2 linked regions of the Pelodiscus sinensis genome follow. The protein of the gene in region 1 interacts with the protein of each later gene in a pairwise test. Links are inferred from orthologs where the notes say so. Each region holds a gene or a part of one and is shown on either strand. Other genes may lie near its edges.

Region 1 (12,928 bases):
CAAAATGTAATTGTATTACAAAATTAGTATAATAATTCCATCCAAGCTTAGTGGTTATTTATCCACATTAAAAATACAACTCTATTTTAGTTGTCATAGGCAGTGTTGACTTCCAGATATTATAAACACAATAAGGAGGGTTGAATTGGCCCAATAAAATATATTACCTCACCCACCTTCTCTTTCTCTTAGTAGTGAATTTGTTCTGTTCAATGAAGGCCTGATTGTGGAATTATTGGGGGTGCTTCTAGTCAAGAAGAGATGTACACACAGGCAAGAATCAAACTTTGTAAGGTACCTGTTCACATAATGCTAGTATGAGATATGCATAATTAGCTTATGCCCATGAGCATCAAGAAAAATCTTCACTCTTCCACTATACCAAATGACAAAAAACAATCATGTTCTTTTTATTGTCCATCACCCATGTCAAATTGTCATGAAAATGTGTCAGCCTAGCACAGCACATACACACACGCACAAAGTATTTGTTCATGCTTTACAACAAGATGAAAATTAAAACAACAACAACAAAAAGACATACCTAAGGAAACTATTTGCCCAACTACAAAATTCCTGTCCCTCGTAAGCATAATTTTGTAATGCTAACCTTCTACATATTCGTTTAAAAAAGCAAGGAGTGACATCTGATACCGCTTTTAATTTTCACAGCCTTTTATTTCACTGATATCATTTACAGTGATACAAAATATCCTTAGATGAGATCAAATGTTAAACAAGTATATAACCCAATCCTTTACTCGTTCTGTAAAATTTTTTTTAATACAGAGTTTTGCATGCCAAAAAAATAAATGACCCAGCTTTCAGCATAATTCTCAGTTACACTGTAACAAAATGTCTTTCCAAGTACCCGTATTTGCTTTTAGGTGATGAGAAATTTGTAGATTAATACATTAAGGCAATAATTTTGTTCACTCCTCCGTTGCTCTGTGAAAGACATACACAAACAGGGAAGTAGTGAAACCAAGCAATGTCAAACCATAAAGCAAATTGGAAGTTTTTTCAAATGTTTCTGTTACAATAATGTCTGAGTACTATCTGCAACCATAGTAGATAAAAAGCCTGTTCACATAGAAAATTTTTTGAATTGACAGTGCCTTACAAGTTTTTAGATTAGTCATCTGTTTACATTCAAACACCTCAGAAAACCAAAAATGGTCTCAAACTGTAGATATCATAAGTATTGAAATCACTCAAACACCATTCTCCTGGCTTTTTAAGAAAATTCCCCCAATCCCTTCAAAATGTCTCTCTGCCAACTAGGAATTAAACTAGCCCAATAATATATGTATCATCATCATCACAAAGATTTTAACACAGCAACCTACCTAGTATTTTTTAACAAAAGATTCAGGTAACCAAATGCAAATTGTTTTCTGCTGGTTAACTTGAATCCAACAACTAAGTTTCCTTGAATATTTGATTTTTTTAAATTGAGATACTCAAAAAATGTTTCAATGGACTAATTTAAAAATTTAAAACAGCATCCTTCACATTGGTTCTAATTTTTTTTAAAAGAGTACTGCTCCTCTGATATTTAAAAAGACTTTTCAGCAAGAGGAAAAAAGTCTAAATATGAAAGTGACTGTACATAAGTCCTGTAAAATTCATAAAAAGAAAAATCTTTCCTTCTCACTGATTTTTTATTTTTACGACGAGACATTACTTAACAGAAGTTACACCATTTTCTGAAATGTGGTTTTCAACATCATATTAAGGTTTGACTTATTAAAAACACTAGTATCTGTTATTCCATGTTGCAGAAAGAATATAGTACAAAGTAATTTGAATTATTGCTATGGGAACTGGCAAATTAGTTTGTCTTGAAAGCAATGCAAGAAAAATGCACTGGTGAATTTGGTTTTTCAGTATTTCATTTCTGATTCGCTGTTTCTAAAGATGAAATTACTCTAAACATGCCTTCCCACAGTACATTTTGAAATGTAATGAAGTGATTTCTGGATTATCTTCTCTTTGAATGCAATTTTTATTTTAAAAAAAAACAAAGAAAACACAACAAGAAAAGGTAAGTTTATCCATGATCCTCAGAAATAAGCAGTCTCTCCTTCCCTTGAATTCTGACAAACCTCGTCTCTCTCTATCCAGATCTAATCTGCAACTCTGTTCAGAACAGACAGTGTACTGCAGTGTGAATGGACAGCCAGGTAATTTTATGAATGGAGCAGATCACGTGCTCGCAGCACCTCCCCGAGCTGATATTTCCCACATAACTCTGTCAACAACCAATTTTTTTAAATCAAGTAGTCCTGGAAATCCTAATGTTCAAACTTCCTACAATACTCAGACTGTTGACGTGCAGGAAAGGCCTATACAATTCACACGGCAGGTCTTGTTGAATGTCAACGGTGGTGTTTTAATTTTTTTTTATGAATGGAAATTGTGGTATGCAAATTAGAACGATTCACAAAAAAGAAAACATGGCGACTGCTTCTGCCTCGTTACACTGATACTGGAGCAATTCACCTTCTAAACCACTGCAATGTAACATTTCGTGCTTTACCTACTGTAGCTTAGGATTTCTCAAAACACTAGTTATTCAAGTTTGAAATTTAATCAATGTGTTAAAAAGAAAAAAATATTTTCCTTAACGATTTTCCTTTCCTTCCTTATATCTTAAGGAATGCTTTATTTAGCGGAATGCCTGTAAATGGCAATCTACCTGCACTACCAATGACACAGTTTTGTCATATAAATGACAAATGAACTCGCTATTTAAAATACATTTTAGAAAGCACAGGATGATTATTTTCCATCACCAAGAGTTGAGTCTGCACTATGACAAGCCACATCATTCGTAAAACGAATTCCAGCAAATGACTGAATTGCAAATCATTATTCTGGAAAAGATTACATAGCCTCTTGCAGACAGAGGCACTGGTAGTAACCCTCATGAACTTTATACCTTTACACGTTTCTGATAAAGACTGAGATCAACATACCTCTAAATACTTTGCACTTGTTTTTAAACGCCACAAAGGGACTATTTACTAACAGAATATTATTTCTTCCCTTCCACTCAAAATGTAAATATCATAGACTAAAAGCAGTAGGATAAATATCTAAAAATCGCAAGAGGCGGCCTGACTTCGTCCAATCTCGATATATTAAAACTGTAAGAGACTCGCCCTCCCTTTACCCAAGAGCTCATAACTTCAGGGAAAAGTTTAAACTTTATTTACATTGACTGACTCATCCCATTAAAATTCAACAGCAGTTTCCTGCAGGATGAAGCTCCCACACACTAATTTCCATGTGAAACATCTGTGAGATAGGATTTGACCCTAGGCGGCATGTAGAGGAGGGAGGTGCACTGTTCGGACATTAAACCCCCACCTTTCCCCAAGTTCAACACACGCCGCCGCCAGTACCTGGCCACCTTTCTGTCATGTTGTAATTGCACTACACAAACACGGAGACTGGCTCCCGAGCTTTATGAACAAACCCCTAAGACACAAAAAGAGACCCCAGTGTTTCCATAACACAGACAATCCCTACGCGCAATACACACATAGGTAGGGCCACAGACCATCCGACAAGCCAGAGCAGTCCTGCACGGAACTGCCCAACGGTAGAAGCAGAGGAGGCAGGAAGCAGAGGGGTCAGAAGAAGAGTAACAAATATTTGCTTACTCGTTGTTAGAAGTCGCCGTCTCTTCGCTCATTTTTTTCCTCACCGTGATCCGACAGCGAGATGGAGCAGCAGCACCGACGCAGCCAGGGCGCAGCAGGAACTCACCAGAAACCTCACCATTGTTAACCCCCGAAGCTGCCTCTCCAACGAGAACAACAGTGAGGGGCAGCGGCAAGTCTTTTATCCCAGAGCCGCAGGGACCCTGCTGTCCGGCACTGGAGCGCAGCCCCCTGCCTCAGCGACGGTGGTGGCCGCAGCTCCTCTGGTCCGGAACGGGCACAGGCTGGCGCTGGTGGAAGAGGCAGGCTCCCAGCTGCAGTGAACTCCGCGCCGCTGTCCTCCCGCTGCAGCTCATCTCCCGCTGCAGCTGCCTTCAGCGCCCTCCTCCTCCTCCTCGCCGAGCGGGCTCGCCCCTCGCAGCCAGCCCCGGGGCAGCAGGGAGGGGGAGCAGCCACAGAAGAAATTCCTCCAAACAGCCGCGTCCGCCAGCCGAGGGGGAAGGGAAGGGAAGGGGGCGCGCGGGGGGAGGGGGCAAGTCACGCACCCCACCCTCAGCCAGCCACAGCCCCGCGAGCAGGGGACAAGCCCGGGGGTGGGGGCGGCGCGGGGAGGCGCTGCGAGGGGGGAGGGGGCGGCGGGATGCGTCACGGCTGCTTGTGTGAGGAATGGGGGGACGCAGGGGCCAGCGGGCGCCCCGCGGAGGGGCGGAAGGGAGAAGCCCCCAGCCGGAGCCGGCGAGAAGTTCAGCAGCCGCGCTCCATCCCCGGCGGCAGCAACTCCATTAGCCGCAGCCCCGCGCTCGCCTCCCACCGCCTCGCAGGAAAACTGGGCGGAAGCGTTGACTTCAGGCTCCTTCCGCCGCCACAGCTTGATTCCAAATAACCACGGGCGGGTGGGGGGCGGCAGAGAAAATAATCCCTTCGGCCCCCTCCACGCCAGCCGCTGGAGAGGCCTGCCGCGCGGCCCCGCTCGGCGCCTCCGGGGCCAGCTTAGTGGCGTGAAAGTAGTTCCTTCCCCTCCACTCGTTTCCCAAGGAGTTGTCAGCGGCACACACTCACGGAGGCGCGGAGGGATCTATAAAGCACTGCACTCGACACCCCCCTTCGTTTCGTCCCTGTGCATGTGTGAGAGAGAGCGCGAGCCTGTGTGTGTATGTGCGCGTGTGTGTATGTGAGGGAGAACGGAGGCGAGTAAGCGAGAGAGCTGGAGCTCCTGCCTGCGAGATCTGGGAGGGTGGAGGCCCAGGGAGGTTGCAGGGTTGCAACGCAGCCCTTGCACACAGTGCTGGCAACTAGCTTCCAGTCTTGCAAAGTTGGATCGGACAGTTCTGGTCTCTTCCTGTCAGGGCTGGAGTCGTTTGCAGGCAGGGAGGCTGCTCTGGTGCCGCACAAAGCGTGTGCATGGCACACACTCATCTGTTACTCTTCATGTAAAGTGCTGCCACACTGCAAGGGGGCGGATCGGGTTAATGCACGCAGCGCTAGTGCTGAGGTTGCATTGCTGCACCACAAAACATTGAATGGTATACATCTAGTGCTGCCGGGCTACACTGGATTTGCTTCTGTTCACGAAGGAGGGAATGGTTAATCTGTAAGGAGCCTGCTTCCATGGCAGGCAATGGGATTTTTTGCCATTGAGTTCAGTGGGAACAGGATGCTGCTCCGGTTCCATGCCAGTAACTGCAGAACTTGCTCATTGCATGCATTAATCTATTTGCCAATACAAGGAATCAATATACCTTCTGTAAGCCTGATCCAATGCTTTTCTGTCCAATCATTTTTTTTTTGGAATGCACGGATTTGTTTCTGACATGCTTGGAGGGGGGTTGCTAATAAGCATGAGGTGTAAGATTGCAGACATGGAGGAATGTGAGAAGGGATAGTGTTTGCCGTCAAAGGTTGAAGCGTGGCCTGACACACTTCAAACAAATGCCGTTCCTTCTCCAGTACATGCAAGAGGCCCGTGACTGCAATTTATCATTGCTAGCAGCGTTTACACAGACACATGCAAAGTGTTTTTAGAGAATTGAGTGTTTCCTCGTTAAATTCTCCTATAGGCTTGACGGGCTTCTTTACCAGCATGGATAGCTGAGATATCAGCAAAAGCAGTACCAAAGTCTCTTTGTTTTGTCCTAGGGAGGAAGGTGACTAGAAGAAAACAGAACTGAATTTTTAACAAAGTATGTTGTCAGTGTATGTAACTCTTTCATGTAATTCTTTATTGTTGCTGCTTTTATGAACAAAGATAGAAGAGAAAATCTAAAAACATGGTTAATTTACTAAGTATGTGCTATGCTTGACTTTATTCCATCCAGTTTAAATTCTTGTGGATACACTATCCATAAAATGCACTTTACTCACAGTAACCTTTAAGTTTTGAAGAGAGCCCCCTTTGCAATTAGTTTTTTAATCATGTAAATCTGGAAGCAGTTTACTGTGCTGTTCCATAACACAGTGTTGTAGTAGCTGTGTTGATTCCAGGTGGGTCAGGTAATATCTTGTTTTTGGACCAACTTCTGTTGATGAGAGAGAAAGAGAGAAGCTTTCGGGCTGCATGTGAACTTGAAAGCTCATACCTCTGACCAACAGATGTTGTTTCAATAAAATATATTACTTCACCCACTTTGCCTCTCATGAAAAATATATGGAACGCAGACTTGACCTCCTCTCTAAAACAAATGCACAATAAAATGAAAGCATTTGTAACTATTCTAGGATAGGTAATACAGGAGGCAGTGGCTAAAACCCAGACTAAACCCTTTTCAGAAGCTTATACAATAGACATGTTACTATAGAAGACTTCTTTGCCTGATTTAACTGAAAATAGAGATATAGTGAAATATGCACTTGAAGGTTATCTCCCTCTCTTATATTTTCTTATCTACCTCCCTTACACATATACCATGTTTCCAGTATATTTTTGTTTTACTTCAAACAGTTTCTTACTAGCCACCTTGGGTAGCTTAGGACAAGCTTCTCTTTCTCAGGGGCATGGTACCTTTTGTGTTCAAGATTCAGCAATCGCTCCCAGACATATTTTTGTGAGGAACTGTCCTTAAAGCAGTCCAAGAAGATACTAAGCAGTCCAAGAGTAGCACCTAAAAGCTTTGTCATGGACCAGGACTCAATTGTGCTATGAGCTGTACAAACATAGCAACACAGATGATCTATGCCCCAAAGAGCTTACACTTTTATTTATTTGTACCTTCTGTCAAGGAAGTTAAATAGACCCATTTTTATCTAACATAGTATGATGTAATCATGCAAAAAGGTCTTTCTTTTATACATATTTTAAGTTCCTTATAAATAGGCCTGATAGAAATTTTGTGTGTATTTAAAAAGAGTTTTGACTTAAATATCATGGAACAATTACAGTAACTGCTATTATCCTTTTTCTGATAATGGCCTTTAACACATATCTCAAACATGCAATAATAATATTATCTTCTCTTGCTTAGAAGGATGATAAGAACATTAATTAGTAATTGTTTTGTAAAAACATAAGGCATTTACAAATATAATAATTTTAAAAATATTCTGTCCAAAGAATAGATCAATCATGTGGCACAATTCCATTTCAATATATAAAAATACATCCAACAGCCAATTTTTGTACAAGATTTTTTACAGTATAATTAGGGCTTCTTCTTTGGGATTTATTAAATTCATTAGAGGTATTTTTAGTAATTTTAAAACTCTATTAGATGTCTGGAAATGATTTTTATGTAGATATAGATGTCCAGAAAGGAGTTTTGGGGCTTCCTCTTTGTATATATTGTAATGAATAATCTCTTAATAATGTTCCAAATGCTCTTTTATGTAGTGCTGTTTTGAACATTAAGGCAAAGTGGGGAACGTGAAGCGCACACCAGCAGAGCCTACATGGACCAATTAATGTGCAACAAGATAGCGTGCTTTGGAAATCACATTCCCACAGTCTGCACTACCGTTTCCAGTATTCACTGGATAAACAGCCAATTCCCATTTTCTCATGGGGGTGCTATATAGGTATTTGTCAGTTAAAACAGAAAATCAGAAGCCCTAAATATAATCTAGAAGAACAAAATAGTTATTCGTATCACACCATTTGTGAGAAAGGAGGTAAATATTTTTATTCTGAGCCACAGACAAAAGATTACCTAGTTATCTAAGTGAGAGTGTTTTTCAGTTTACTTTCTGTTTTGAGACTGGCAGATAATGTGATTTCCTGTTAATTTAATCTTTGTTTTATACTGGTTTCAAAGTTTAAATGGCTAAGATCCTGTAAATTAATAGTTTATAAAGATAAGTTGATTAATATGTTTGAGTACAAGAAATGCTCAGGAATCAGTTCATTTTGTCAGATGATGATATACTTCTATATATATATGTGAAAGAAAATTTAAAATCAAATGAAGTAAAAATCTTAAATGAATCAACATGTTCCATAGATCTGCTATGGATAGTAATTCCCTGCTGTAATAAGAATATAAGAGTAGGGATCTATTATTGACCACCTGACCAGGACAGTAATAGTGATTATGAAATGCTAAGAGAGATTAGAGAGGCTATCAAAAAGGGGAGAAGCAATTCTCGATTTAGTCCTGAGTGGCACGCAGGATCTGGTCCAAGAGGTAACTATAACAGGACCGCTTGGAAATAGTGATCATAATATAATAACATTTAACATTCCTGTGGTGGGAAGAACACCTCAGCAGCACAAATTGTGGCATTTTATTTCAAAAAGGGGAGCTAAGCAAAAATGAGGAGGTTAAACAGAAATTAAAAGGTACAGTGACTAAAGTAAAATCTCTGCAAGCTGCATGGACAATTTCAAAGATACCGTAATAGAGGCCCAACTCAAGTGTGTACCCCAAATTAAAAAACACAGTAGAAGAATTAAAAAAGAGCCACCGTGGCTTAACACCCATGTAAAAGAAGCAGTGAGAAATAAAAAGACATCTTTTAAAAAGGGAGGTAAATAGACAGGAGCATAAATACTGCCAAATTAAGTGTAAAAATGTAATAAGAAAAGCCAAAAAGGTAATAACAAAATGTTTTTAAGTACATCAGAAGCAGGAAGCCTGCTAAACAACCAGTGGGGCCCCTGGATGATTGAGATACAAAAGGAGCACTTAAAGACGATAAAGTCATTGTGGAGAAACTAAATGAATTCTTTGCTTCAGTCTTCACGGCTGAGGTTGTTAGGGAGATTCCCAAACCTGACCCGTCCTGAGGACTTGTCACAGATTGAAGGGTCATTAGAGGAGGTTTTGGAATTAATTAATAAACTTAACAGTAACAAGTCACCAGGACCAGGTGGCATTCACCCACGTTCTGAAAGAACACAAATGTGAAATTGCAGAACTATTAACTATGGTTTGTAACCTATCCATTAAATCAGCTTCTGTACCCAGTGACTGGAATATAGCTAATGTAACACCAATATTTAAAAAGGGCTCTAGAGGCGATCCCAGCAATTACAGACTGGTAAGTCTAATGTCAGTACCGGGCAAATTAGTTGAAACAATAGTAAAGAATAAAATTGTCAGGCACATAGAAGAACATAATTTGTTGGGCAAAAGTCAACATGGTTTCTGGAGAAAGAGGTAAACAGTGAGGTGGTAAAGTTTGCAGACGATACTAAACTCTGCTCAAGGTAGTTAAGACCAAAGCAGACTGTGAAGAACTCCAAAAAGATCTCACCAAACTGAGTGATTGGGCAACAAAATGGCAAATGAAATTTAATGTGGATAAATGTAAAGTAATGCACATTGAAAAAAAATAACCCCAACTATACATACAATATGATGGGGGTTAATTTAGCTACAGCTAATCAGGAAAGAGATCTTGGCGTCATCGCGGATAGTTCTCTGAAGACGTCCATGCAATGTGCAGCGGCAGTCAAAAGAGCAAACAGAATGTTAGGAATCATTTAAAAGGGATAGAGAAGAAGACGAGAATATCTTACTGCCCTTCTATAAATCCATGCTATGCCCACATCTTGAATACTGCACACAGATGTGGTCTCCTCATCTTAAAAAAGATATACTGGCATTAGAAAAGGTTCAGAGAAGGGCAACTAAAATGATTAGGGGTTTGGAATGGGTCCCATATGAGGAGAGATTAAAGAGACTAGGACTTTTCAGCTTGGAAAAGAGGAGACTAAGGGGAGATATGATAGAGGTATATAAAATCATGAGTGGTGTGGAGAAAGTGAATAAGGAAAAGTTATTTACTTGTTCCCATAATATAAGAACTAGGGGCCACCAAATGAAACTAATGGGCAGTAGGTTTAAAACAAATAAAAGGAAGTTGTTCTTCACACAGCGCATTGTCAATCTGTGGAACTCCTTGCCTGAGGAGATTGTGAAGGCTAGGACTATAACAGGGTTTAAAAGAGAACTAAAATTTCATGGAGGTTAAGACCATAAATGGCTATTAGCCAGTATGGGTAAGGAATGGTGTCCCTAGCCTCTGTTTGTCTGAGGGTGGAAATGGATGGCAGGAGAGAGATCGCTTGATCATTACCTGTTCGATTCACTCTCCCTGGGACACCTGGCATTAGCCACTGTTGGCAGATGGGGACTGGGCTGGATGGACCTTTGGTCTGACCCAGTATGGCCATTCTTATATTCTTATGTTCTGTTTTGATCCAAATGCAGCAGAAACACAGGTTTATGAAATAGAAGAAAATACTTGGAAAGGTTTTTACAGGTTTTTTTTTTTTAATGTTTCACTGTGGTAGTTCATGAGATGAAACATTTGCAGAATATCATGAAGACACAAAGAATTTCAGTTAACTGCAGCACTCTAACCATACCATAATAGTGAAGTAGAACCTATATCCTTTTAAACAGGAGTATTCTAAGGTGTGTCTTAAGAAGAAAATGAGAGTTTGCACCTTGCATCTTTTTATCTAAGGGTACGTCTTCTACACTGCACAGCTACCAAAATAGCTACTCTGCGTCTTCACAAGCCACCCATTATTTCGAAATATTTTGTCATCCCGGTAAACCTTGTTGTATGAAGGATAAGGAATGGCTAGAAATAGTGCGTTGTTTTGAAATTTGGCGCTGTGAAGTGCAAATATCAAAATAGCCTATTTCAAAATAGATTCAAAATTATATATGCAGTTTCCATAGTGCAAATTGCATATCTCATTTTGAATTTAGGGTGCTGGGTAGACGCACTGCACTGTTATTTCGAGATAACTAGCGTTAACAGCCATTCTGTTATTTTGAAATAATTTTAAAATAACAGATGGCTTATTCCGAAATCTGTAAACCTCATTCTACAAGGAATAATGCCTATTTCAAAATAGCTATTTCAAAATAATGTGTGTGTAGATGCTGCATTGCTGCTATTTCAAAATTGGCCTTGGTGAAGGGTTATTCTCCTCCCCAGTGCCTCCTGGGGCTCTAAATTGAGATAGCATGGCTACATTAGAGAAGCCTGCCTCAGACTAATTTTAAGGCTTTCCTGCAGTGTAGACGTGCTATTTCAAAATAAGCTATTTTGGAATAACTATTCCAGAATAGTTTATTTCAAAAGAAGCATGCAGTGTAGATGTACCCTCAGTGTCACAATCAGTAACACCAGTTTCATGGAAGAGGTAGGGGATTCCATCTCCTTAGATGCCTCCCACCATTTCTTCAGCTAGCTATGCCAGCTCTACTGCTGGAAACAGATTCTCCTATGCTAGAGAATCTGTACTAAGGGTACGTCTACACTACAGCGTTATTTCGAAATAAGCTATTTTGAAATAGTTAATTCAAAATAAGTTATTTCGAAATAACGCGTCTATACACAAAATGCATTTCAAGATATCATTTTGTCTCTGCATACTCTGGTTGCCCTCACTCAGGACACTACAGCACTCTGCAACATGGAGCCGGAGCCGCCCCTGGGCATTCTGGTGCTTCTCGTGGATGCGTTGCTGCGAGCCTGGCTGCACTTTCTGCAGGATGCCATCTGGGAGGTCTATCGGGGGGCTGTCAGTATCCAGGAGGCCCTACGGGAGAGCTTCCACCCTGAGGAGCACTAACAGTCTCCCTTGTCTGCACTACTGGGGTCCTGTGCCTCATTCCTCCCTCACGTCCTTCCACTTACTCCCCCTGCCCAACCCCTTTCCTTATGTAAAATAAAATACATGTATTTTCATGAACACAAACTCTATTTATTTAACAAAACTGGGGGAGGGGGAATGAAACTCTGGTGAGACTGGGGAAAGGAGGCGGGAGAGGGTGGGAGAGGGAAGTGGGAAGCCTGGGAAGAGGGAGCTGGAAGGGGGAAGCCAGGTGAGGAAGGTGGAGGGGAAGCTTAGGGCTCAAGGATGGGGGTCTCACCAGACCAACTTGATTTACATGTGAACCTGCTCCTGGGTTCACATGTGGCCTTTGGTGGCCAGGCTGGCAGCTATCCTGCCATAGACAGCTGCATTCCTCCATCTAGTGCTGAGATCATAGATGTTGGGGGCATCCCCCCAAACCTGAATAAGGTCCATGATCTCTGCCCTGGACCAGGAAGGCGCCTGCCTTCTCTGGGCCCTGGCAGGCTCCTGGGAGCTGGCAGACTGCTCCTGGGGAGCAGTGGAGGGCTGGCTGCCAGTGGCTTGCTGGCTCATATTTTGGAGCCACTGGGTCAGGGGCAGTAACTGCTGGCTCTGGGCTGGCAGGCTTGGAGCTGGCACAGGCACTGTGGCCAGAGACTACCCCTTTAAGGATTCCGGGGAGTGGGGGAGGGAGAGGAGTATTCTTGGTTGAGGCTAGAGTGGCCACCAGGGCAACCTGGGAAGCCTGGAGGCCCTCTATTTCGAAATAAGTGTCTACACAGCACTTATTTCAAAATAGCTATTTCGAATTTGGCATTATTCCTCGTAGAATTTCCAATTTATTTTGAAATAGCAGTTTGTCTGGGTAGACGCTAGGAAAGTTATTTCGAAATAAGGGCTGTTATTTAGAAGTAACATTGCTGTGTAGACATACCCAAAGAGACTTGTGAGTGGTTTCTGCTCCCTTAGGCAGTATCTGGTGCCTGGTTTACACTACAACGGAAGGTCAAAATAAGATCTGCAACTCCAGCTATGTCAATTGTGTAGCTGGAGTTGATGTAGCTTACATCATGCTTCTGCGCTGTCCAGACAGCGGGAGGTCGACGGGAGCATTTGCTCCTGTCCGCTTCCCTTATTCCTCAGGAGCAGGAGTACTGGCACTGATGGGTCACCCTTTGAGTTCGATCTAGTGAGTCTATGCTACACCCGCTAAATCAAACCCCAG
Region 2 (12,155 bases), on another chromosome or scaffold:
GATGTCCAGGCATGGGCCCCCCCCCGAGACGTGTCAATTCCTCGGGGCCAGCCCAGGCTGTGCTGCTAATTACCAGCACTGTGGGAGGAGGAGTCTGGCCTTGCCGGTGGAGGGAGGGGGGTCCAGGTCTCCCCAGGGCTCAACCATTACACGGCTGCAATTAATCGCTCATGAATTTTTCAGGCTCTGAAGAATCCTTGGAGGGAAAGAGAAAAGTTTGATGTCTTTTTAATTGACGGCTCCTCTCTTAAGTGGGCTGTAAATGGGCGAGCAGCAGAGGAGCTGCTGCTGGGGGAGACCAGCAGGGGCAGCCCCCTGCCCCTCAGCATGGCTTCTGGCTTTTCTCCCCTCTGTCAGGAAAAGAAGCGCCGCTCTTCAGAGCAGGGACAGGAGGCTTGGGCCAGAGCCCCTGGAAAGGGCTCAGTGCTCACCTCTCACAAGCGCCCTCGTCTGGCTGAGTGCAGGTTCCTGCCTCAGTTTCCCTAGCTGGAAGGCTCTTCGGCAACTCTGGGCTTAAGCCAGTCGATCTTAGGGAGCTTTTCCTACTGTCGAACCCAACCCTCCCTTAACCATAGAACCACTGAACACTAGAACTGGAAGGGACCTCGAGAGGTCATCGAGTCCCGTCCCCTGCCCTCATGGCAGAACCAAATACTGTCTAGACCATCCCTGAGAGACATTTATCCAACCTGCTCTTAAATCTCTCCAGAGATGGAAATTTCACAACCTCCCTGGGCAATTTATTCCAGTGTTTAACTGCCCTGACAGGAAGTTTTCCCTAATGTCCGACCTAACCCTCCCTTGCTGCAGGTTAAGCCCCTTGCTTCTTGTTCTATCCTCAGAGGCCAAGAAGAACAATTTTTCTCCCTCCTCCTTGTGACACTCTTTCAGGTACTTGAAAGCCGAGGGAAGGCAGCCCTGTTGCTGCCTGTAGTGTTTTCTAACGGGGCCCTTTGGTGTGTTGGGCAGACGTACAACTGCTACGCCACATACACAACCCAGGAACGCTCTCCAAGGACTCAGGCCCCTGAACCCGGAGCCTTTCCTCTCCCCTTGACAGCTACAGCAGGGCGGGTTAGATACGGGCACCCTAGCCCCGGGAACACTCAGCAGCATCTGAGGAGGAAGGACACCAGGAGCGGGAGCCGCCTGTTGCCGGCAGTCACCATGGAAACCACTTCCATTTGTTTCTGAAATCGTTTTGTGTCTCTCTGGTTTTCTTCTCCGCAGTCCTGCTCCTCCCCACCTAAGCTGCTCTCTCCCCAGGGCAGGAAGGGGGCAGGCAGGTTGCGGAGAAAGGGTGTGTCCATCGAGCATGATCCTCCCGCTGCGAAGGTAAAGCAGAGCTACCGGCTGCCCTCTTAGGCCTGGCCTACCCCGGGAACGTCGGTCGGACTCAGCCGCATGCGGCCAGTTTTCTAAACAGTGAGTCTGCGCCACCACAGCCGGTTCCGTCGACTTTACGGGCCGTTGAAGTCGATTCCGGTGCTGCTGAGTTCAGGGGGAGGGACCACTCAGTCGGGGCTTGCGTGGTCCACTTTCCGGTAGTGCAGATGCAGGGCTGTGAAAGTCGATGTTGTTAGCCTCCAGGAGGTGTCCCACAGTGCCCTGTGGCATCCACTCTGGCCACCACTATGAACTCTACTGCTCTCCGGGTGCACAGGAGAAGCCCTGGGAAAATGTGAATTTCATTCCCCGTGTGGCCAGCGTGGCAAGCAGACCTCCGAGCCGCACAGCTGGCCACGAGCTTCAGGAGTTCCTGTGGCCGCCGGCGAGCGCCAGCGTGGATCTCATTGCTGTGCAGGGAGAGGAATCTGTTCTCGCAAGGCCAAAGGAGGGCAGCTCTCTGTGCCACGGTCTCACAGGGCACGGAGGAGAAAGGCCACGCCAGGGCTGCCCAGCAGGGCTGCGTGAAAATCCAGGAGCTGAGGCAGTCGTACCAAACAACAAAGGAGGCAAACGGGCCGTCTGGAGCATCGCCGCGTCTATGACCGGCTGTGTGCGATCCTGGAGCAGGGGCGGGGGGCCGACCATCTTCCCCAGCCCGTCTGTGGGTTCCTCCCACGCACTCAGCTCCGGCCTGGCAGCAGCGTTTCAATTCGGGGTTGGTTCCCCCTTACTCTCTGCCCCGCTCATCACTCCTGACCTTGAGCTGCTAACGTAGCACTGCACCTCCTGGGCGGGGCAGGGCCCTGCCGGGACTCAGCTAGAACCGCCTCTAGCCCAGGAGGCCTTGGCCAATGCACCTTGGCCTGTTCAAAACCATCCCCGAGCAGGCGGAAGGGCCGGACGCAGGGGAATGGGGGGGCGGGGATGGCCGCAGCGTGAGGCGCCGAGCAGCCGAACTGGAATCCCGGCCTCCTCGCCAGCTCGGCTTTCAGGGCGGGTGCGGAGAGCAGACTGAGCGTGACTGGCACTTCCCTGGTGACGGAGGGCAAAGCTGTTGACATGCCCCCGCCGGGCCTGCTGGCTGGGCTGTCTCCATCACGCCCCAGGCTGGGGCGGGGGGGCCTGGCACTTGTGCCAATGAGCTTCTGCAGCCCTCGCTGCAGCGGGACAGTGCGACTTGCCCTGCCCGGCCGCTGCTTGTGACGGTGGCTCCCATCCAGCTTCCTGGAGCCAAAGGGTGCGGCCCCCCGGCTCTCCGGGGAGTGGCGGGCGGAGGCCTTTGCAAATCAGGGCAAGGTGACAGGCCCAGCCCGGAACAGCTCCCAGAACGTGACTCCGAGGGGCACTCTCAACGCTCCTGACCTCAGGGCGCTCGGGGCCTGCCTGGGTCACACTGCATGGGCCTGGCTCAGGAAAGGGCAGCCATAGGGCAGACTCGCTGGTGCGAGCCAATTAGGGAACCTAAGCAGGAATATCCCCCCCCCCCCCAGTATTAAAACATGACGTTCTTAGATGAACAAGCAAAACCAGAGCGCCCCGTTCGGCTCTGTCGACGCTAGAGACCTTCCAGCGGCGCCGCGGGCAGGTCCCCTGTGGAGTCTATGCCGGGGCGAGAACTCCCCTGTTGGCATAATTAAGCCATCCCCATGGGCGGTGGGGGAAGGTAGAGCTGGGGGAGGCAAACCCTAAGCCCCACCTCAGCCCCGCCCCTTCTCCCCATGGAGCCAAGCCACCCCCCTTCCCAGCAGCACCATGGGGAGAGAGGATGGTGCATGGGCCCTGCCTCCCCAGCCCTGTAGCAGAGGGAGGGCAGGTGCTCAGGGGCGGAGTGTGGGCGGGGCCAGGCTGGCAGTTTGGGAAGGCAACACCTCCCCCTGCCTATGATACCCACCTCCCCGACCATCTCCAATGAGCAGCAGTTGTGATGTCACTGGGAGAGGGGAGCGTGAGGCGTGTGCGGTCGCTTTCCCCGTATCTGGCCCCGTTCCTTATTCCTGGCCCTGCTCCAGGTTCCAGTCTCATGTCCTGGAGATTTACACAAAGTATTGTATGACCTGTTCGAACGTGAACGAGGAAAAGTTCAAACAATATTAAAAATGCCCAGGGGCGTGCATTTGTTTTGCAGAAGTAAAACGTTCCTTGCGACATATCAGGTCGGAACACGCATGTCCCTTTTACACCCAGCGCCGTAAGGGCGTCTGTCAGGTGCAGGCTGCCGCGGAAAATAGAGAGAGATGCTCCCGCTTCATGCACAGCTCACGGCCCCATGGACGATTCTGCGTCTTCATGATGTTAATGTGGTGGGACGTGGATTTAGGTAAAGTCTGACAGTGAATTTGGATTTGTTGTCTTTGTCATTTGTTTTTTACACACACACACACACACACACAATTTGTTGTCTTTGTCATTTGTTTTTGCACACACACACAATTTGTTGTCTTTGTCATTTGTTTTTTACACACACACACACACACACACACACGCGCGCGCGCAGACCTGACCGTAGTCTTCAGATGCCTCTTGCCGGCTCTGCACTAGAGGAAGGGTGGGAGGAGGCAGGAAGGGTTGGTGAGGCCTGCAGCAGCAGATGAACAGGAATTGTGTTTATTGCTGTATATTCCCCTCTAGACCGCCCTGGCCAGGACCGTGGGGCAACACCCCAGACTTTCTGCTGCACCAGTGCATGCCGGAGCCGGACTTTGCAGGCGTAGCAGGGATGAGCAATGCGGTTCAGAGGCATCTACCTTGCTAACAAAGTAACTTGATAAAAGCCACTGCCTGTAACTAAGGCCACCGGTGGGTTCACTGCCGAGGCACGGGGGGACCATGTGGGGTCACATGCTCCCCCAGATGGGTCACTAGCGTGTAATTGCTGAAGAGGGGTGCCCTGTCTCTGCCGGCCTTCCCCCCAGACGCGGCTCGCCGTGTTAGCCCTTTGGAGTATTGAATGCCATGTCCCAGGAATGCAGGTGGCGCTGCTGGCCCAGGCAGACAGAGGGAGACGTCCTGGCAGGCGGGGGTGGGAGCATGTTCGGGAAGGGGGGGGGCTTGTAGCTTGTTGCCGCTTTTTTTTTTATTGCCTCCAGGCAAGCAGGATCAATGGGGAGAGACTGCACGCTGGCGGGGGTGGGGAGGGCTGTCACTGAGAGTGCTGGGGACGGAAGGGGGGGGGTCTTTTAGGGGCTTTGTTGTGAAAGGGGATTAGCTTGAGTTTTGGCTTCTTGTCAGCGCAGGGTGCTGCTTTCCAGCGGGCAACCTCTTGGGCCAGCAGGAGGGACAGGCTGTTGGAGACCCCCCTGGGGTTGCTTTGGGCAGAGCTAGTCCATGGCCGTGGAGATTTCTGCTCCCCCCTGCAGCACTTTGGGACAGTCCTTGGTGGCATCAGACAGGCCCGCTCAGAGGTCCGGAGAGGCATGGACCACATCCAGCTTTGGAGGCCCCCTAGCCAGCCTCGTCAGTGGGAGTGGAGAACAGTGATCCCTGTAAGCTGAACGCTTGGGTGACGGCCCCGGAGAGATTCAAATGCCGCCCAGCTGATTAGCAGAGCGCCCAAAGCCCCCAACAGCTGGCAGCATGTGTTTCTTTGGGTGGTGCACATCTGCACATGCCTCGGTGCACATTGCAAAATTTATTGCGCACATAGATAGAGAAAATTAGCGAGAACATTGGTGGGGAAGGGGGCAATTGCACAGAGCCCTGGCGTTTCAAGGGGGCCCAGAGCTCCAGCTGCAACTGCAGGAGCCGTGGCAGCTGGAGCCACAGGCTCCTTTAAATTGCCATGGGAGCACTGAGTGCTGGAGGGGAGGGCCCCGCACCGTGCTCCAGACAGCACTAAGGACTGACTGCCCTGGGCCCCGCCTCTTCTGCCCTCCGGGGGGTGTGGAGCAGGCCCCCCCACACTTTGCCCCTGGGCCCAGGATGGCCGTTGGCCCCACTGCAACAATAGGAATGGCCCACGGGAACAAAATAAGGCCCCTCAAAAAAGAGCGAGACATAATTTGACAATGTTTTTATTTAACAAAAGCTTTGCTAGCCTGAGAGAGGAGGTCCCAGTTCAGTCCCATAGGGATGCGGATAAAAACAAGTTGCAAAACTTACCAAATGCTAAAAGATTAACAGGTGTCTAAATTTGAGGTCCCATGTGAGCTTGAGGCCCAGGTCAAATGGCCCTGCTGCCCTCCTCCCCTGACTGGCTCTGGCATGGGATGCTGCAGTGGGGGAGCAGGAGCACGTGTGGGGGAGCTGCCAGGAGTCTTGCCCACAGAAGAGCTCAGTGTGGGCTAGAAAGCTCTGCTCTGCCACCCCAGAAGTTGGCAGCAGGTTTAAAACAACCCAAAGGAAGTTTTTCTGCACACAGTGCAGAGCCAACCTGTGGAACTCCTCGCCAGGGGATGTTGTGAAGGCCAGCACTTTAACAGGGTTGGAAAAAGAACTAGATAAACTCATGGACTACGTCTACACTGGCACCCTTTTCCGGAAATGCTTAAAACGGAACAGTTTTCTGTTATAAGTATTTCCAGAAAAAGCGCGTCTACATTGGCAGGATGCTTTTCCGGAAAAGCACTTTTTCTGGAAAAGCGTCTGTGGCCAATCTAGACACGCTTTTCCACAAAAAAGCCCCGATCGTCATTTTCGCAATCGGGGCTTTTTTGCGGAAAACACTACTGTGCTGTCTACACTGGCCCTTTTCCAGAACAGTTTTCCGGAAAAAGGACTTTTGCCCGAACGGGAGAAGCATAGTATTTCCGGAAAAGCGGCTGATTTCTTACAGTAGATCGTCAGTGCTTTTCCGGAAATTCAAGGGGCCAGTGTAGCCAGCTGGCAAGTTATTCCGGAAAAGTGGCTGATTTTCTGGAATAAGTGGCCAGTGTAGACACAGCCATCGAGGTTAGGCTATTAGCCAGGATGGGTAGGAATGGGTTCCCTAGCCTCTGTTTTTCTGGAATTGGATTACAGGGGAGGAGGGTTGAGAATTACCTGTTGTATTTCCCTCCCATTGGACATCTGGTATCGGCAGACAGAACACTGGGCTAGATGGACCTTTGGTCTGACCCAGTCTGGCTGGTCTTATGGTCCCATGAAAGGTATCTCCCTCACCCAGCTTAACATCTCCCTGAATCCTGGGCCATGCATACTAGGGATGTCAAATAACTGGTGTAACATATTGTTTAATCCAGGGGCGGGGACCTTTTTTTGGGACAGGGGCTGCTGACCCACAGAAAAATCATTTGGGAGCTGCACACAAGAAGTACCCCCCCCCCCCACAATCCTCTAGTACAACAGAGCCTAGGGGGGCTGGGGCTAATACATTTTGTGGTCCCCATAAACTCTGGGGTGGGGCCAAAAATGAGGGGTTCGCTGTGTGGGAGGGGGCTCCTGGGAAGCGGGCTTGGGGTGTGGGCTCTGGGCAGGAGGGAGGGTGCAGGAGCAGAGTGGGGGTGCGGGATCGGGGTGGGAGGGGGCCCGCAGAGCTGGAGTACCAGCTCCCAAATGCTGGAGGGGGAGCGCCGAGGCAAGGCGGGGGCCGGATCCGGCCCTCGGGCCGTAGGTTCCCCAACTCCGGTTTAAAGGAGGGCAAGCGGGGGGAGGAGGGGGACTCCAGCCCAGATGGAGCAGCCCCCCCCCCCCCCCGCCAGAGGCAGGGGCTGATCCAGCCCCCCCCATTAACGGGTTAACCCTTCCCATCCCCACTGCTACCGCCCCCAGCCCTTATCGTCGAGAAGGCAGAGCCCAGCCCCCCCTTGCTAAGCCCGGGGCGTGGATCGCTCTCAGCAGCGCCCCCAGCAAAGCCAGGACTGGCCCCGCGGGCCGGATGCAGCGCGGCCCGCGGGCCAGCCCGCGATCTCGCTCCGGGGCCCCACCTGTAGCCCGCCCCGCTGAGTGACACCTCCCTCTGCCAATCGGCCGGCCGGCGGAGCCAATCGGGCGCCTCCCCGCGGAGGGGGCGGGGCACCTAGTGGTACAAGAGCGGGGGCGACGCGGCGCCCGGGCACATCAGGTGGCGAGCGCGGGGCTCTCGCCGGTGCATGGGCAGCAAGCGGCTTCGCGCGACCTCGCTGGGCCACAGAGACCCGGCAGCTCCCCCTGCAGCCTCCCAGGTAAGGGGGGCCGGGGGCCAAGCGGGGCTCCCTGCAGAGTGGGGGGCAGTGGGTCCGAGCCGCCAGCTGGCGCTCTCCGGGGGGTAGCTCCGGCCGCCCTTGCTCAGCTGCGGCTGGTCCCGGGCAGGTGCTGGAGAAGGAGCATCAATTGCAAAGGGCGGTGTGTGGGGGGGCGGTTACGCAGCTTCTCCCGAGGGGGAGCAGAGAGACTGGGGCTCTGGTTCACGTGCCCTGCTGCTGCCAGCTCCGGCGGCCGGTGCAGGTTGCCCTGGGCTGGCGTTGGCCCAGGACTTGTGCTGCGCCTCCTGCAAAGTTTCACACGGCGTGGGTGGGGGTGGAGGGTTCGTGCCTCATCTTATTAAATCCGTGTGGGGCTAGCAGGGATGGGGAGCCCTGCTGCTCCTGGGAAGTGGCAGAGGGGCAGGAGGTGGGGGTTGGCCTGGCTCTTTGGGGGGGGTCTGGCAGGAAGCCTGGGGGAGCCCTCCAAACCCAACCTCAGTCAACCCCCCCAAAGGTCTTTGGGGAGGTGTGTGCAGAGACCCCCCCCTCCCTTTGTTTGCCTCCAGGCCTGTGTGGCCGGGAGCAGGACCGGGTGGTGCTGCGGCGCCCAGCAGAGTGCATGTGGGGGATGAGGGTGGCTTGAATTGATGCTTCATTGTTGGGGGGGGGGGGTGAAGGAGGCTGTAGAGACCTGTTCCTGCATGTACATTAGTGGGTGCAAACACTTGCTACTGTCTATCTAGTCCCTATGCGTACCAGAGCTTTCGGTGCTCTCCCCTAGCCTCAAAGCAGCCATCTTGTCACTGCTGGGGGTGGCTGTGTGTGGGAGGGGTCTTGGTGAGTCTCCTGTGCGGCAGTTTGGGTAAGAGGGTTTGGGACTGGCCCTCGTGAGTGGCGGTGTTGCAGTGCAGGAGGCCGGTCCCTCCGGAGGACTAAGGGATTTGCAGTCCAGAGCCCCCTGTTCGGTCCCAAGAACAAGTCAGTTCCCCAGGGGTTCACCCCACCAGGCTGCCTGCCACCGTTCCCTGTAAGCTGAGCGCTTGGCCTGCCGGCCACTCCAGAGAGACTGAAATGCTGCCCAGCTGATTAACAGAGCGCCCACTGCTGGCAGCATGTGTTTGTCCTGGTGGGGCACATCTGCACGTGCCTCAGTGCACATAACAAATGATTCTGCACATGGATGGGGGGAAAAATAGAGGGGATGTTTGTGCCTGCCATGGGTTTTGTTTTTGTCGGGTTTTTCCCCTACTCCCCCACCCTCCCTCCAGCTTGCAATAGCTACTGTGCCCTGCTGTCTAGGCGCTGCTCGTGGGGTGACATGTTTTCATTAAGGTTTGGTCATCTTTCTACCAATCACAACTCTGGAGGCAGGCAGGGGGGAGGGGGAGGCGGTTCTCCTTCTCGGAGAACCTTCACAAAGTGCCACCGCATGACGGAAAACTAACAATACAGCACGCTCCAGCCCACGGAATGAAGAAGCCCTTTCCGAATGTCAGCCTGTGCGTGCATCGCTGTGTTGCATGCGGGTATAGACACACACTAGGCATGCGCGGTGCTTGTGTGGACAGTACACTGTGTGTACACACAATGGAACACACACGGCACGCAAGCGATGTCTTGCGGTTCTGGGTTTTGCACCGATCTGTTGCTATGGTTCTTTAACTGTTTGCGTGGCAGCTTGGGTGGGGATCTGGTAAATAATTCGGCAGCTCTTTTCATCCAGCTCAGGCCACCGGGAAGGTCTCCACTTCATTCCTTGTTCCAGGGATCGAGATTCCCTCCCATTCCTGGGACGATATGGGATTATCCCAGTCAGGGATGCCTTTTATCCCCTGGCTCCTAAAATTATTCAGGGAGCATGAACTCGATGGCATCAAATGGCGTCCTATATCTGAGGCTTTCAGCATCCCTCCGTGTGTAAGTGTTCTGTGTCCCCACACTCCTCTCTGCGCACACACAATGGATGAGTGCACAAACTGAGCAGTGTGGCGCAGGTGGAACTGAACCTGGGACCTCTGATGCTTAGTCTTGAGACTTAGTGACTCATCTTAGGTGCTAAGGCTGTAGAGCAAACGCACTGTTCTCTCGGTAGTGGTCTAAGGGCCACTCACCCCACGGACAGTACATCACACCCACCCTTCCCTGTGTGCATGTAACTGTCTAGGTGTGATCTACACGGGCATTGGCTTGTGACTGGCGTTCCCCTCTGCCCCAGCCCACACGTTCCCCTTACAGGTTCAGGGCCCTTTTTTGCTGCTCCTAGGGCATTGGCTCTGCCCCAACCATGCAAATAACAACCGTTCCCCACGGCATCCCTCACAGCTCTCGCTGTTCTCTTATGCAAAGCGTGGTCACTCCGGCTGCCATGGGGCCCTGTGTGCATCTGCTGGGAAGGCCATCCTTCCTGTCCCTGCACGCTGGTGGGACCCTACCTGGTGCCCGGCTGTTTTTCTGCCTTTGGTTGTAGCCGTGGCTGGTGCACCAGGAAAACCCTGCCTACTCTAGGAGCACAAAGGATTAATTCTGGAGCAGTTGGAGAGCTGCCTGTGTCTAGAATCAGTCGGACTTGTGGTGCTCTGTAGAGGATGCAGTCCTGCAAACTGGAAGGCAGAGGGACCCCAGGAAACCCCCTCTGATTGTGGGGGTCAGAGGACACTGGGGGAGCAGAACAGCTGTAGCCAGGCCATGCTGTGAGGGTCAGAATAATAAATCTTTGCAGCAAGTCAGGAAAACAGCAGAAGGGAGAATTTCCCTGCACCATGTGAGTCCCAGAGAATAACTCTGGTGCTTGGCTTCTTGCGTCTAGCAAATCCTTGGGCTGCATGAGTGGAGAGGCTCAGCCCACAGCACTGCAGAGTTTTAAACAGCGTTACCAGCTGGAATGCAGCCGCTTCTGGGTTGGAACACTGTGATTCTGTGCCAGGCTTGAGGAGGAAAACGGAGGCAGACTGGCATCTGCCCATTGTACAGATGGGAGAATTGGGGCATGTGGTGAGGAGATGGAACTAGCACGTCCCAGCAGCGCAGTCTCAAGGACAGCGGAGGCCTGGATCCCAGCCGTGTGGTGTGGTCTCAGCTCTGATTAGCATTGTGGGGAGTATTGTAAGTGGGAAGAAAGGGGCTGACCCGAATTCAGGGCTAGGGGTGTCCATGCTTAACCAGAAAGCATCACCATTACTGGGTAGCTGGAGCAGCTCCCCTACCCCACACCTGGGGGCTGTTCCAGCCCAGTGGGTCTGGAGGCCCCCTGGCCTGTGGGATCCCGTTTAAGCACTTACACTCATCCTGACTAGGGATATGAAACCCCATCTAATACGTGGGGTGTGATATTTAACTGACTTCTCAGTCCCCACCAGAAACCACTCGGACTCTACTAGTACAAGGAATTGGGACATCGTTTCACAAGACTGCACGTGCAAGGTGGCATCTCTCACTGCGGGGCCAAGCTGGGAGATGGCCCAGGCCAGTCCTGCTGAGCGCGTGCAGCCCTCTTAGCATCCCAGGCCTGCAGACTCGTTTGGTTTCCTGGTTCACAGAGCCCCCCCCTTGTTAACTGGGTCTGGTTGCGGAGCCACAGTACCAGCATCTAAGCTTTGAGCTTTGCTGGCTGAGCCTTGGCATGAGGGGGTGGGGGTAGGTGGGATGCAGGGAGCTTCCTCTGACCCTGCTGGGCATGCAGGGTGTGACATTAAGTGCTGCCAAATTTGCCCCACTTGATCTTCCTCCTCAGGCCCAGGGGACCCACTTCCTGGAAGTGTGGGGCAGGCAGCTCTAGAGCGAAAGGTGCAGACAACTCGATGGGAGGGAGCCTAAGATCTCCAAAGTCAAATACTCCCCACCAGGGAGGGGAACCTACCAGCTGGGAGCTGGATCTGGTCCTCAGGTTTGGGGCTCCCCTAGCATTGAGGAGCTTGTACTGGTGCTCCAGTACCCCCCACTAGCCTCCTGGAGGGCTGGAACAGTCTCCCAGCCTGGGCCCCCCAGGTGGTGAGAGGAATGTGGGGAGTGTCTTTCTGCTTCTCACTCGGGGTGTCTCGTGCTGTGTTGCTTCTCACTCATGTTCCCCCACTGACTCCTCTGTGGGTCAGCTGGCCCGGCCCAGGGAAGGGTTCCTCATCCCTGCTCTACACCAAGTCTCGGGACACACCCTGCTGTGGGATGAGATGGACCCTGATTTTTTTCTTTGCCCCACGTGGGAACCACTAGCCACAATGACTTTCCCTTTCTTCCCCAGAGGGGGGAGATCTCTAATCCGTTTTAATCCTGTGGGGTTTGGCGGCCACGCAAAGGCCTGCGGAAGCAAAAGGTGCAGGGAAGAATTGGCCGGTCGCTTCGGGGATGCTGCTACTGTTGGCAACCGGCTCTCCACCGTGGAGCTGTCGCCATGGCAACTCCTCAGCACCAGCTCCTAGATGTACCAGGGTAATGAGGAGTCTGTCCCTGCCCCCTCCCCTTCGGCACGAGCACAAACAGGCCTGGGGGGAGGGGAGCGCTGGGGGCCACTCGGCCTCCACCCCTTGCAGCCGGGGCTGCGCTGGGCAGGGATGTCGGAGACCAGGAATTGGGGCCCTTGGTTCTGGAGGGACTGGCTGCAACTATTTTGGGATGGTGAGGGCATCAGTTGCCAAGCTTTGGAGGGCCCCTGGCAAAGCAAGAACTCGGAGGCCG

Evidence for each region.
Region 2: the proteins of SPRED1 (region 1) and HPCAL4 interact in binary tests that used the Homo sapiens proteins (3 or more experiments, as listed by UniProt). The link is inferred for Pelodiscus sinensis from reciprocal best matches to the Homo sapiens genes SPRED1 and HPCAL4.

What each region holds. Positions count from the first base shown.
Region 1 is NC_134714.1:58,049,868-58,062,795, reverse strand, and holds the start of SPRED1 (sprouty-related, EVH1 domain-containing protein 1), read right to left. Parts: upstream 4,827-12,928; 5' UTR 3,704-4,826; coding exon 3,672-3,703; intron 1-3,671. UniProt on the Homo sapiens protein: Tyrosine kinase substrate that inhibits growth-factor-mediated activation of MAP kinase. Negatively regulates hematopoiesis of bone marrow.
Region 2 is NC_134735.1:2,531,094-2,543,248, forward strand, and holds the start of HPCAL4 (hippocalcin-like protein 4), read left to right. Parts: upstream 1-7,330; 5' UTR 7,331-7,487; intron 7,488-12,155. UniProt on the Homo sapiens protein: May be involved in the calcium-dependent regulation of rhodopsin phosphorylation.